Saccharomyces cerevisiae S288C: one gene and its partners. The main gene of each other region encodes a partner of the protein of the gene in region 3 in a complex. Each region holds a gene or a part of one and is shown on either strand. Other genes may lie near its edges.

What was found.
Region 1: NAP1 (region 3) and CDC10 share a complex: the UniProt entries of both Saccharomyces cerevisiae proteins name them as parts of the GIN4 complex.
Region 2: NAP1 (region 3) and CDC3 share a complex: the UniProt entries of both Saccharomyces cerevisiae proteins name them as parts of the GIN4 complex.

What each region holds. Positions count from the first base shown.
Region 1 is NC_001135.5:116,779-120,071, reverse strand, and holds CDC10 (septin CDC10), read left to right. Parts: upstream 1-1,723; coding exon 1,724-2,692; downstream 2,693-3,293. Other genes in the region: YCP4 (flavodoxin-like fold family protein), read left to right, coding at 1-497; mitochondrial 54S ribosomal protein bL32m MRPL32, read right to left, coding at 901-1,452. UniProt on the Saccharomyces cerevisiae protein: Septins are GTPases involved in cytokinesis that assemble early in the cell cycle as a patch at the incipient bud site and form a ring approximate 15 minutes before bud emergence, which transforms into an hour-glass shaped collar of cortical filaments that spans both sides of the mother-bud neck.
Region 2 is NC_001144.5:762,438-766,193, reverse strand, and holds CDC3 (septin CDC3), read left to right. Parts: upstream 1-2,056; coding exon 2,057-3,619; downstream 3,620-3,756. Other genes in the region: TAD3 (Tad3p), read left to right, coding at 13-64, 121-928; NKP2 (Nkp2p), read right to left, coding at 925-1,386. UniProt on the Saccharomyces cerevisiae protein: Septins are GTPases involved in cytokinesis that assemble early in the cell cycle as a patch at the incipient bud site and form a ring approximate 15 minutes before bud emergence, which transforms into an hour-glass shaped collar of cortical filaments that spans both sides of the mother-bud neck.
Region 3 is NC_001143.9:524,908-528,663, forward strand, and holds NAP1 (histone chaperone NAP1), read right to left. Parts: upstream 1,734-3,756; coding exon 480-1,733; downstream 1-479. Other genes in the region: PLN1 (Pln1p), read right to left, coding at 1-167; FMP46 (putative redox protein), read right to left, coding at 1,923-2,324; TRK2 (Trk2p), read left to right, coding at 2,908-3,756. UniProt on the Saccharomyces cerevisiae protein: Acidic protein, which assembles histones into an octamer (in vitro). Involved in the regulation of the localization and the function of the septins during mitosis. Involved in the function of B-type cyclins.

The DNA of each region.
Region 1 (3,293 bases), on a different chromosome or scaffold from region 3:
ATTTGCCGGCTCAATGGTCCGCCTTTTGGGATAAAACCGGTGGATTATGGGCCAAGGGCTCTTTGAACGGCAAAGCTGCGGGGATATTCGTTAGTACTTCCAGTTACGGAGGTGGTCAAGAAAGTACCGTTAAAGCCTGTTTGTCTTATTTAGCTCATCACGGAATTATCTTTTTACCACTGGGTTATAAGAATTCATTTGCTGAGTTAGCCAGTATAGAAGAGGTACACGGTGGCTCTCCATGGGGTGCTGGTACCCTTGCAGGACCTGACGGCTCAAGAACTGCGTCTCCACTTGAATTGAGAATTGCTGAAATTCAAGGTAAAACATTCTACGAAACCGCCAAAAAACTTTTCCCTGCAAAAGAAGCCAAGCCCTCCACTGAAAAGAAGACCACTACTTCTGATGCGGCTAAGAGACAAACTAAACCTGCAGCAGCTACAACTGCAGAAAAGAAGGAGGACAAAGGATTATTATCCTGCTGTACTGTCATGTAAGAAACAACAGTTCGCGTCTAATATTTAGTTCTTACTAACATTAATTCTATCTCAGCAGATATATCAATGTAGGACGTTGGAAAATTAATAAAGAATTAACTCTTTTTATTTTATTTTTTCCTTTTTATATTAAAAGTATATTTCTGTAAGTCCTTGTACTAATAATATCATTTCCTAATATTTTGAAATATAGTTGTTTTTTGTCAAGCAAAACTCTTGATTTCAAAGACCTCATTTTGTTAAGCCAAAAGCGAAAAATTCTATTTCGACTTTTCTTTCTGTTTCCGCTCCTTGTATTCTACCATTGATGCTGTCTTAAACAATAAATATACAGTTTGAAATTAAGTTTCTATATACAGGCTTAAGTTTATTTAAAAAGGAAACCACTAGATGAAAGATGAGCCTAGTCCTTTTTTAAAGTCCGAACGCGACGTTCCAAATAGTTATCTTTATCTTTCAAATCCTTGGTATATTTGGTATCTCTTCTACCAGGATATAGGACTCTTTGGTCTAGTTCGGAAAGTTCCTCCTCTTGTCTCGGCTTAATTTCTTCTTTAGCGGTATGCGTTTTCCATATATGACTTATTTGTCCAACACAATACATACACAGTGTATTGGCTCTCTTATAATGGCCGCATGATGGGCACTTATTCAAATGGTGAATCATCTTCAATTGCTTCTTACCTGGACCGTAAAGTTTTTGCCTTTTTTTTTGGTGTGATACTTTTTTTTTAGGAACTGCTAGTAGAATACCATTATTAGAGAAAAAATCTTTATCTTCAGTGTCCTTATGATCTTGTTGTAGCTTTTCTCTCAACCAACGGTGGATAGATCCCAGTTGTTTTTGGCCTGGAATCTGCAGTGAAGGATTTCCTAGCGGTACCAACCACCCAATTGCAGTGGTAGGCACAATTTTGTGAAATGCTAATTGTTTACCAAAAATCAAAGAATTCATAGTTTGTTTGCTGATATTCCCTGGTGTTTTTGTCTCCAAGTTAAGGTATTATTTGGGAACATTGTGCCTTATATTAAGATTTGCTTTCTGAATGCTTGCGGAAATAATCGTATGATACGATGAGATTTCCTCGAGAGACCACAAATAGATCAGAATCGCTGAATAGAATATATGTAAACATGTATCAGTAATACTTAACTTTTTTCAGGCAAAGACAAGAAAATACAAGGCCAAGCCCCACGGTTACTACAAGCACTCTATAAATATATTAATGGATCCTCTCAGCTCAGTACAGCCTGCTTCTTATGTTGGTTTTGATACCATCACGAATCAGATCGAACATCGTCTGTTGAAGAAAGGTTTTCAATTTAATATAATGGTTGTTGGCCAATCCGGATTGGGTAAAAGTACTCTAATAAATACGTTATTTGCCTCACATTTGATTGATTCTGCTACTGGTGATGATATTTCTGCCCTGCCTGTTACAAAAACAACTGAAATGAAAATTTCTACTCATACTCTTGTGGAGGACCGCGTTCGCTTGAATATTAATGTTATAGATACACCTGGATTTGGTGACTTTATTGACAATTCTAAAGCTTGGGAGCCTATTGTGAAGTACATTAAGGAACAACATTCTCAATACTTACGTAAAGAATTGACAGCCCAACGTGAAAGGTTTATTACTGATACAAGAGTTCATGCAATTCTTTATTTCCTGCAACCAAATGGAAAGGAGTTGAGCCGCCTTGACGTTGAAGCCTTGAAAAGATTGACAGAAATAGCAAATGTTATACCAGTTATTGGCAAGTCGGATACATTGACTTTAGATGAAAGAACGGAGTTTAGGGAGCTTATTCAAAATGAATTCGAAAAATACAATTTCAAGATTTATCCTTATGATTCGGAAGAACTAACTGACGAGGAATTAGAACTAAACAGAAGTGTTAGATCTATCATTCCGTTTGCAGTGGTTGGTTCTGAGAATGAGATTGAAATAAACGGTGAAACCTTCAGGGGAAGAAAAACTCGTTGGAGCGCTATTAATGTTGAGGATATCAACCAGTGTGATTTTGTATATTTAAGGGAATTTTTGATTCGAACTCATCTCCAAGACTTAATCGAAACAACTTCCTACATTCATTATGAAGGGTTCAGAGCAAGACAATTAATTGCCTTGAAAGAAAATGCGAATAGTCGTTCCTCAGCTCATATGTCTAGCAACGCCATTCAACGTTGAATCTCATAAGAATGGTGGTGATTATATATCTTATGTTATTAAGAATTCTCAAATTATTCTATATGAAAACACCGTAACTTGCTTCTCTCCTTGGTTTTACATAATGACATAATGCGATCGAAAACTAGAGGTACAGGTATTGCTGGATTGGCGAGAGTTTTTACCTTCTTTTCTGGCGTACAGCTATCACCTTCTCGTTTGGTAAAATGAAAGAACATTTTGTTGTCTTAGCCAAATATTTAATCTATGAAGAAAACGGAGTTTACCGGTAATTCTAAATAAAAGTTTGGTTAGGGATTGTGCCTCATAGAGAAGCAATTGGTACTCATCTTATTAAAGTATTACTATAAACATTAGAAAGAGTCCCTGAGCGTTGCTAATGGGAAGCTATTCGCGCTTTTAGTAAATTATTAAAATACGCCAAAAATAAATGTAATCCGGATATACCTCTTCTTTTAACCTTCCCAAACGTGTCCCACACCAAATTGAGCACCCTGCTCGATTATCATATGTCTACTTCACGTCTACACCAGTATGCGATCTGATTCAATGTTGTTTTACTTTAATATATAGGTCTTGTATTTATTACAGATTAATATAA
Region 2 (3,756 bases), on a different chromosome or scaffold from region 3:
ATATAAGTGCAGTCAATGTATGGAGTATAAGAATAGATCCAAGAGACTCGAAGAAAGTAATAGAGTATGTATATGATTTTTGCTTTTGTATTCATGGAAGTAAACTAACTAGTAAAGTAGGCTAATTCGAAACGATTTTCAGAAAAATGACCCTGTTTCATTGAGACATTTGAAAAGGATCCGCAAGGACATCGAGACCTCCACCTTGGAAGTGGTGTTGTGTTCGAAAGAGTATATTTGCGACGAAGGTGAAATAAACAATAAATTGAAGAGTATTTGGGTTGGAACGAAAAAGTATGAACTGAGTGATGATATCGAAGTGCCTGAGTTTGCGCCCAGCACAAAGGAACTGAACAATGCCTGGTCTGTGAAGTACTGGCCGTTGATTTGGAACGGCAACCCCAATGATCAAATATTGAACGACTATAAAATAGACATGCAGGAAGTACGAAATGAGCTATCGCGTGCGTCGACGTTGTCTGTGAAGATGGCAACGGCAGGAAAACAGTTTCCAATGGTGAGCGTCTTTGTTGACCCATCAAGAAAGAAGGACAAAGTGGTGGCAGAAGATGGCAGAAACTGCGAAAACTCGCTACCCATCGACCACAGTGTAATGGTGGGCATCCGTGCGGTAGGCGAAAGACTCAGGGAGGGTGTAGACGAAGACGCAAACTCTTATCTGTGTCTTGATTACGACGTCTATTTGACCCATGAGCCGTGCTCAATGTGCTCCATGGCCCTGATCCATTCTCGTGTGAGACGAGTGGTCTTCCTTACAGAGATGCAGCGCACCGGGAGCTTAAAATTAACGAGTGGTGACGGGTACTGCATGAACGATAACAAACAGCTAAACTCAACATACGAAGCCTTTCAATGGATCGGCGAGGAATATCCTGTGGGGCAGGTTGACCGGGATGTCTGCTGCTAGTTTTCCTCTAATAGATTAATATAAGATTGTATAATTTGTAATAGGCCAGGAATGGCATTGTCTCCTGCACTCGGTGAGCGAACCATATTTTCAAATTCTGCTAGTTCCGAGGTCTTTTCCTGAATAGCATCATCCAGAATCTGCAAACGCTGTTGCAACAGGTCATTAATCTTGTACAGCGCGTCGATCAGTGTCTCGAGGCTAAGGGAGTGTGATAGTTGCTCGCTTTCCAGAAATCGCAGTAATCTAGAGCGCAACGTTATGAAAAACTGCTTGATTCGTGCTTCTAACTCAGAGGTCACTCGCGCATCCCTGGCCTGAAGCAATTCGTACCAATGTTGCAGTTGTTGCTCGTCGCTCGTGTACGACTGTAGTTGCTGCTTGAACTCTTGAAAACTTATCAGAGTAGTGAGTAGCGAATCCGAAACATAGTTATGCAGCAGCTGTTCAGAGTTCATTTATAATGGTAATTTCAAAGCAAGATTGGGAGCACAATTGTCAAATCTATGATTATTTTGTTGCGTTATACCCAGCTTTTGGGCTTTTTCGAGAACGATCTTCGTTGTTTTTCGCTGTTTCTCCGCGAAGCGGGCAGCGGCGACGGTAATATTGGCTGTTAATCTATTGTTATCTTGTAGTTGTACAAGATCATTCCTTTAATTCTATATATTAACTGTTCGTGGCGTAACAAGAAATCGATTCTGACATCAAATGGAAGACATCAGCAGTTACACTAGTGGTGCAGGAAAGGCACCGCAAGGGAGTGCAAGAAGCTGTGAGAAACAACTTTATATAACTTGCTGCTTGATAATTGTGACAGAATATTCTCGCACCTTGCAAACATATATAGCAGCACCTCTAGATTTCTCCTTCCTTCCTTTCGTAAAAAGGAACCACCTGGGCGGCTAATTTAGTATTTTCGTCTTTTATGATCTACGTGTGTAATGATATGGTGGGGGCGTGTTTTCGCTTCCCATTTTTTGCCATTTTTTGTCTCGGTTTTAGGAATTGCGTTTTGTGTTGTTTTGTGTATTAAGTTAAAATCTCTCGAGGAAAGCAGATCAAGAAAATATCAAATCCAGGATCACACGACAACTGAACGATTACATCGGCCTATAATACGTTGCCATGAGTTTAAAGGAGGAACAAGTGTCCATTAAGCAGGACCCGGAACAAGAAGAGCGTCAGCATGATCAATTCAATGATGTTCAGATCAAACAAGAGTCGCAGGATCATGATGGAGTGGACTCGCAGTACACGAACGGTACGCAAAATGACGACAGCGAGAGATTTGAGGCAGCTGAATCCGATGTAAAGGTGGAACCCGGCCTCGGTATGGGCATCACCTCCTCTCAGAGCGAAAAGGGTCAAGTTCTGCCTGACCAACCGGAGATTAAGTTCATTCGTCGTCAAATCAATGGTTATGTAGGGTTTGCTAATTTGCCCAAGCAATGGCACAGAAGGTCCATAAAGAACGGATTCAGTTTCAATCTCCTATGTGTCGGCCCTGATGGTATTGGTAAGACAACTTTAATGAAAACTTTATTTAATAATGATGATATTGAGGCCAATTTAGTGAAAGATTACGAGGAGGAACTTGCAAATGATCAGGAAGAAGAGGAGGGTCAGGGCGAGGGTCACGAGAACCAATCACAAGAACAAAGGCACAAGGTCAAAATTAAGTCATATGAGTCGGTTATTGAAGAAAATGGTGTTAAACTGAATTTGAACGTGATCGATACTGAAGGATTTGGTGATTTTTTAAATAATGATCAAAAATCATGGGACCCGATCATTAAGGAGATTGACTCTCGTTTTGATCAATACTTGGATGCGGAGAACAAAATCAACAGACATTCAATAAACGATAAAAGAATCCATGCATGTCTTTATTTCATTGAACCTACAGGACATTACTTAAAGCCCCTGGACCTGAAGTTTATGCAATCTGTATATGAAAAATGTAACTTGATTCCTGTCATTGCTAAATCTGACATCTTAACTGATGAAGAGATCTTAAGTTTCAAGAAGACCATTATGAACCAGTTAATCCAATCTAATATCGAGCTGTTCAAGCCTCCAATTTATTCCAACGATGATGCAGAAAATAGCCATTTATCCGAAAGACTATTTAGTAGTTTACCTTATGCTGTTATTGGTTCCAACGATATTGTAGAGAACTACAGTGGTAATCAAGTGAGAGGCCGTTCCTATCCATGGGGGGTGATCGAAGTGGACAATGACAACCACTCTGATTTCAACCTTTTGAAAAATTTATTGATCAAGCAATTCATGGAGGAATTAAAGGAAAGGACAAGCAAGATACTATACGAAAACTACAGGTCTTCTAAATTGGCAAAACTTGGTATTAAGCAAGATAATTCAGTTTTCAAAGAGTTCGATCCAATATCTAAACAACAAGAAGAAAAAACTTTACATGAGGCAAAACTAGCCAAACTAGAAATTGAAATGAAAACAGTTTTCCAACAAAAAGTTTCCGAAAAGGAGAAAAAACTACAAAAATCAGAAACTGAATTGTTTGCTAGACATAAAGAAATGAAGGAAAAATTAACTAAACAATTAAAAGCTTTGGAGGACAAGAAAAAACAGCTAGAACTTTCAATAAATAGTGCTTCTCCCAATGTTAACCACTCCCCCGTCCCTACAAAGAAGAAGGGATTTTTACGTTAGCGAAATAAAGACATATAAAAATTTCAAACATACACTATTAAATATTATTACTATTAATATATAAAACGCGAGACGCGTAAAATAAAAAGAAGAAGGGTAAATAGAAAAAAATGGAAATGAAGAAAAACAGAGTTATT
Region 3 (3,756 bases):
ACAGATCCCAAAACAACGAGGTTGAAGGAAATCAATCTCTCCACAGGTGGCAGAGATTCCGCATATTTAATAAACTTGGATAAAGCTGGGTATCTTTGCAGATGCGACCAGGTTGCTTGTGGCAATTCCACAGATGGTTTAGAAGAAGAAATAGATGATTCAGACATAATTACGCTACGGTTCTGGAGAGTGAGTGATGGTTAATGATTACCGATACATTCCGTTATCTTTCCTTTTATAACCCTTGCTGCTATATTATTAAATCCGAAAGAATACGATCATCCCCCACGGCGGAGAAAATCTAGGCTATTATTATCATTATTATTATTATTATTGTCGTCTTAGTTACATGCGCTTTAACATATATTTCAGCTTACACACTTACATGTATATACATATATATATCTATATATGTATGTATACATATGTATATAAATATATGAATACGGTTATGACCACTCTTGCGAAGTGCGTTGGGATTATGACTGCTTGCATTCAGGAGCCTGTTCCGGCCTGCCAGCAAAATCGTCTTGCTCTTCGGCAGATTCCCCGTCGTCATCCTCCAAGCCGTGATCATCATCTTCTTCTTCGTCTTCGTCCTCGTCCGCTTCTTCTTCGTCCTCCTCGAACTCGAATTCCAAGGCTGCGCCGGTAAACCAGTCCACGGCTCTAGGAATTAGCTTGTCCTTAAGTTGTTCCCCGATGGAGTAGTCTAAAGCTAGACGTTCCTCGAGGTCTTCCTCCAACTCCTCGTCTTGGTCTTCGTTTTGGATCTTGGGAGGGTCGAAGAAGTTGAAAAAGGATTCTATGGGAGTGATCTTCTCGATGGTCCTCACCTGCTTGGTGGTCTTGTTTCTCTGCTTGCGCATTTCTAGGTCCACAGTGACGTTGTGGGCGTTGTCCTTCCAACTGATCTCGCAGCCTTCTGCGTGGTCGTAGATAAAGTCCCCGGAGTAACCGAGCTCCTTCTGGTAGAAGTAGGTCTTGCACAGAATGTCGTTGGTGAAGAATGGGTTGGCGGAAGAATCAAATCTGAACAACAGCTTGAAACCGGGTCTACCATCCGTCAAGTATTCCAGACCAATATCTTGCAGGTACTCCAGAACTTCCGCATCGCGGTCAGTGATCGTGTCGCAAACGATGGGCAAGTTCTCTAATGCGGTTAGCCAGAATGAGGGAATTCCCTTCACCTGTTCCTCCTCGGAATCATTTTGGGCCTTCTCTTCTTCGTCCACCAACAACTCCGTCTCATTGAGTGACTCCACAATCTCTTGGCCCTTTGCGATCTGTTCCGGCTTGGGTTGCTCTTGTCCTGAAATGATCCTGGACCGCTGCTCCCAAATGGGCTTGTACTTCTGCAGAAACTTGTTCTCTAGCTCAAACATCTCCACCTGAAATTCCTTTTCAACTTCGAATAGCTCGCTTTGTAAAGTCTTCAAGCTCAGCAGCTTTTCCTTAACGTTCTTGGGAAGACCCCCCACATACCCGCTGTCCTGGCCCACCAGCGAGCCAAGTCTGTCCTGGATGGACTGTAACAACAGGGGTTGGTTAGCCAAGATGTCCTCCTCGTTGATGGTGCCGATCTTGTCATCCTGCTCCTGTGCCTGGGCCCTAACTGGGTTGCCGTTTTTCAAATAGCTCGGATTCAGAACCGATGCTGGGGTATTGTGAGGCGTAGGGGCGTTGTCGATTTGCATCGACGACTTGGGTTTCGTTCTGATAGGGTCTGACATGATCTTGCGCTTTGCTCTTGGTCCCACTGGGCTCACTAAATCCTCCTAATCTACCATCAAACTGCCATTTTTGATCCCAAACGCTGCTATTTAAAAGGAAAAATTTTCCCAATTACGCGGGTAATACAAAAAAGATATAGCCCATTGTTATAAAAATATGTATGTGTTCAATATAGTGGTATATAGGTGTTATTTGCGCTGAATGATGTACTTGTCAATGTCTGCGGGCTCATTTCCCACCAACTTGTTTTCCCAGTCGACCCAAAGCGCCTCCTTTGGATTCCAAAGTCCCCTCTGGACACACTTCTGCAGGTCCATCCCGAACGTCGGGTCTGTGTGCTTGTATTTGAGCACTGAATCCAGCTTTGGAATCTGCCTTTGCAACGAAACTGGGCCTTGCGGGCACGAAGTTCTCATGTATTGCAGCTGGTCCCACGTGGGAAAGCGGTTGGCGATTTCCACGTCGAATCGATGAGAGACGTCTCCCTTCAGCAACTGCAGGCATTTCTGCGACTTGATATTGGACGCGATGTCATTGGTAAACAACGAGATGGTACGTGGCTGTCTCTGCAATGTTTTCCAAAACGACATTTATTGCGTTTGCGTTTGCGATCTCCCGGTCTGTTATTTTCATTTGCACTTTTCTTAACGTTCTCTTTTGGTTTTATATGCCCCTTTCCAAGCTGGGTGGATACCCCGTCCATTGAGTGCCCGTGCCCAATCAAGCTAAAGCCAGACTAAAAAGAGGAAGAGTTCAAGAACCATCAATGCCTCCAGCACAATTTCACAACAGCTTGACACTTTGGCAACGGTTATATCAGAGCATAGCGACGGGATTAGAGAGATGCAAGACGACGGAAGAAAGAAGGGAGTGCCCGGCATGCGCTGAAAGCGCCCTGTAGTACAAGCGTACCGCCGTTGAATAGGCCATGGTACATCACACGATGATTGATAATTTGATGCAAGCTGCCATGCTCAGATGGTTGTTTCCCGTTTCTCTCTTTCACTTTTGATCTCCTGCGAAGAATAGGATGAGATGTGAATTTTCGTTTCTAATCCCCTCGGCCGTGCGGCTGAAAAAGAGAAATGATATTGGAATAACTAGGTTTCAGATGATGAGAAAAGAGGCTATTTTGTACTATTCACCGACGATAAGAGGCTGTAAGAACCACTCATGCCAACAGCTAAGAGGACGTCATCCAGGGCTTCGTTGGCACTGCCCTTCCAGTTACGGTTGGTGCACAAGAAATCATGGGGCCATCGGCTAAGAGACTTCATTTCCGGGTTCTTAAAATCATGCAGACCCATTGCTAAATACGTTTTCCCCAACTTCATCGTGGTGCACTATATCTACCTGATCACGCTGTCGATTATCGGGTCCATTCTGTTATATCCGTGCAAGAACACGGCGTTCATCGATGTGCTATTTCTGGCTGCTGGAGCGTCTACACAGGGCGGGCTGGCCACCAAGAGCACTAACGATTTCAACCTGTACCAGCAGATAGTGGTGTACGTCATTACATTGCTGTCCACGCCTATACTTATTCATGGGTTTTTGGCCTTTGTCAGGCTGTATTGGTTTGAAAGGTACTTCGACAACATTAGGGATATCTCCAAACAGAATTTTAAACTAAGAAGGACCATGACGTTGCAACAAAGGGAACTATCGGGCAGCAGTGGCAATGCCGCTCGAAGTAGGAGTTTCAAGGACAACCTGTTCCGTGGGAAGTTTGTTTCCAGAGAAGACCCACGACAATCCGCTTCAGATGTGCCGATGGACTCTCCTGACACGTCCGCATTGTCCTCAATCTCACCGTTGAATGTTTCCTCCTCTAAGGAGGAATCCAGTGACACGCAAAGCTCGCCTCCAAACTTCTCAAGTAAGCGCCAACCCTCAGACGTTGACCCAAGAGACATTTACAAATCGATAATGATGCTACAAAAACAACAAGAGAAGAGCAACGCAAACTCCACGGATTCTTTTTCGAGCGAGACCAATGGACCCGCTTTCATTGTGCAGGAA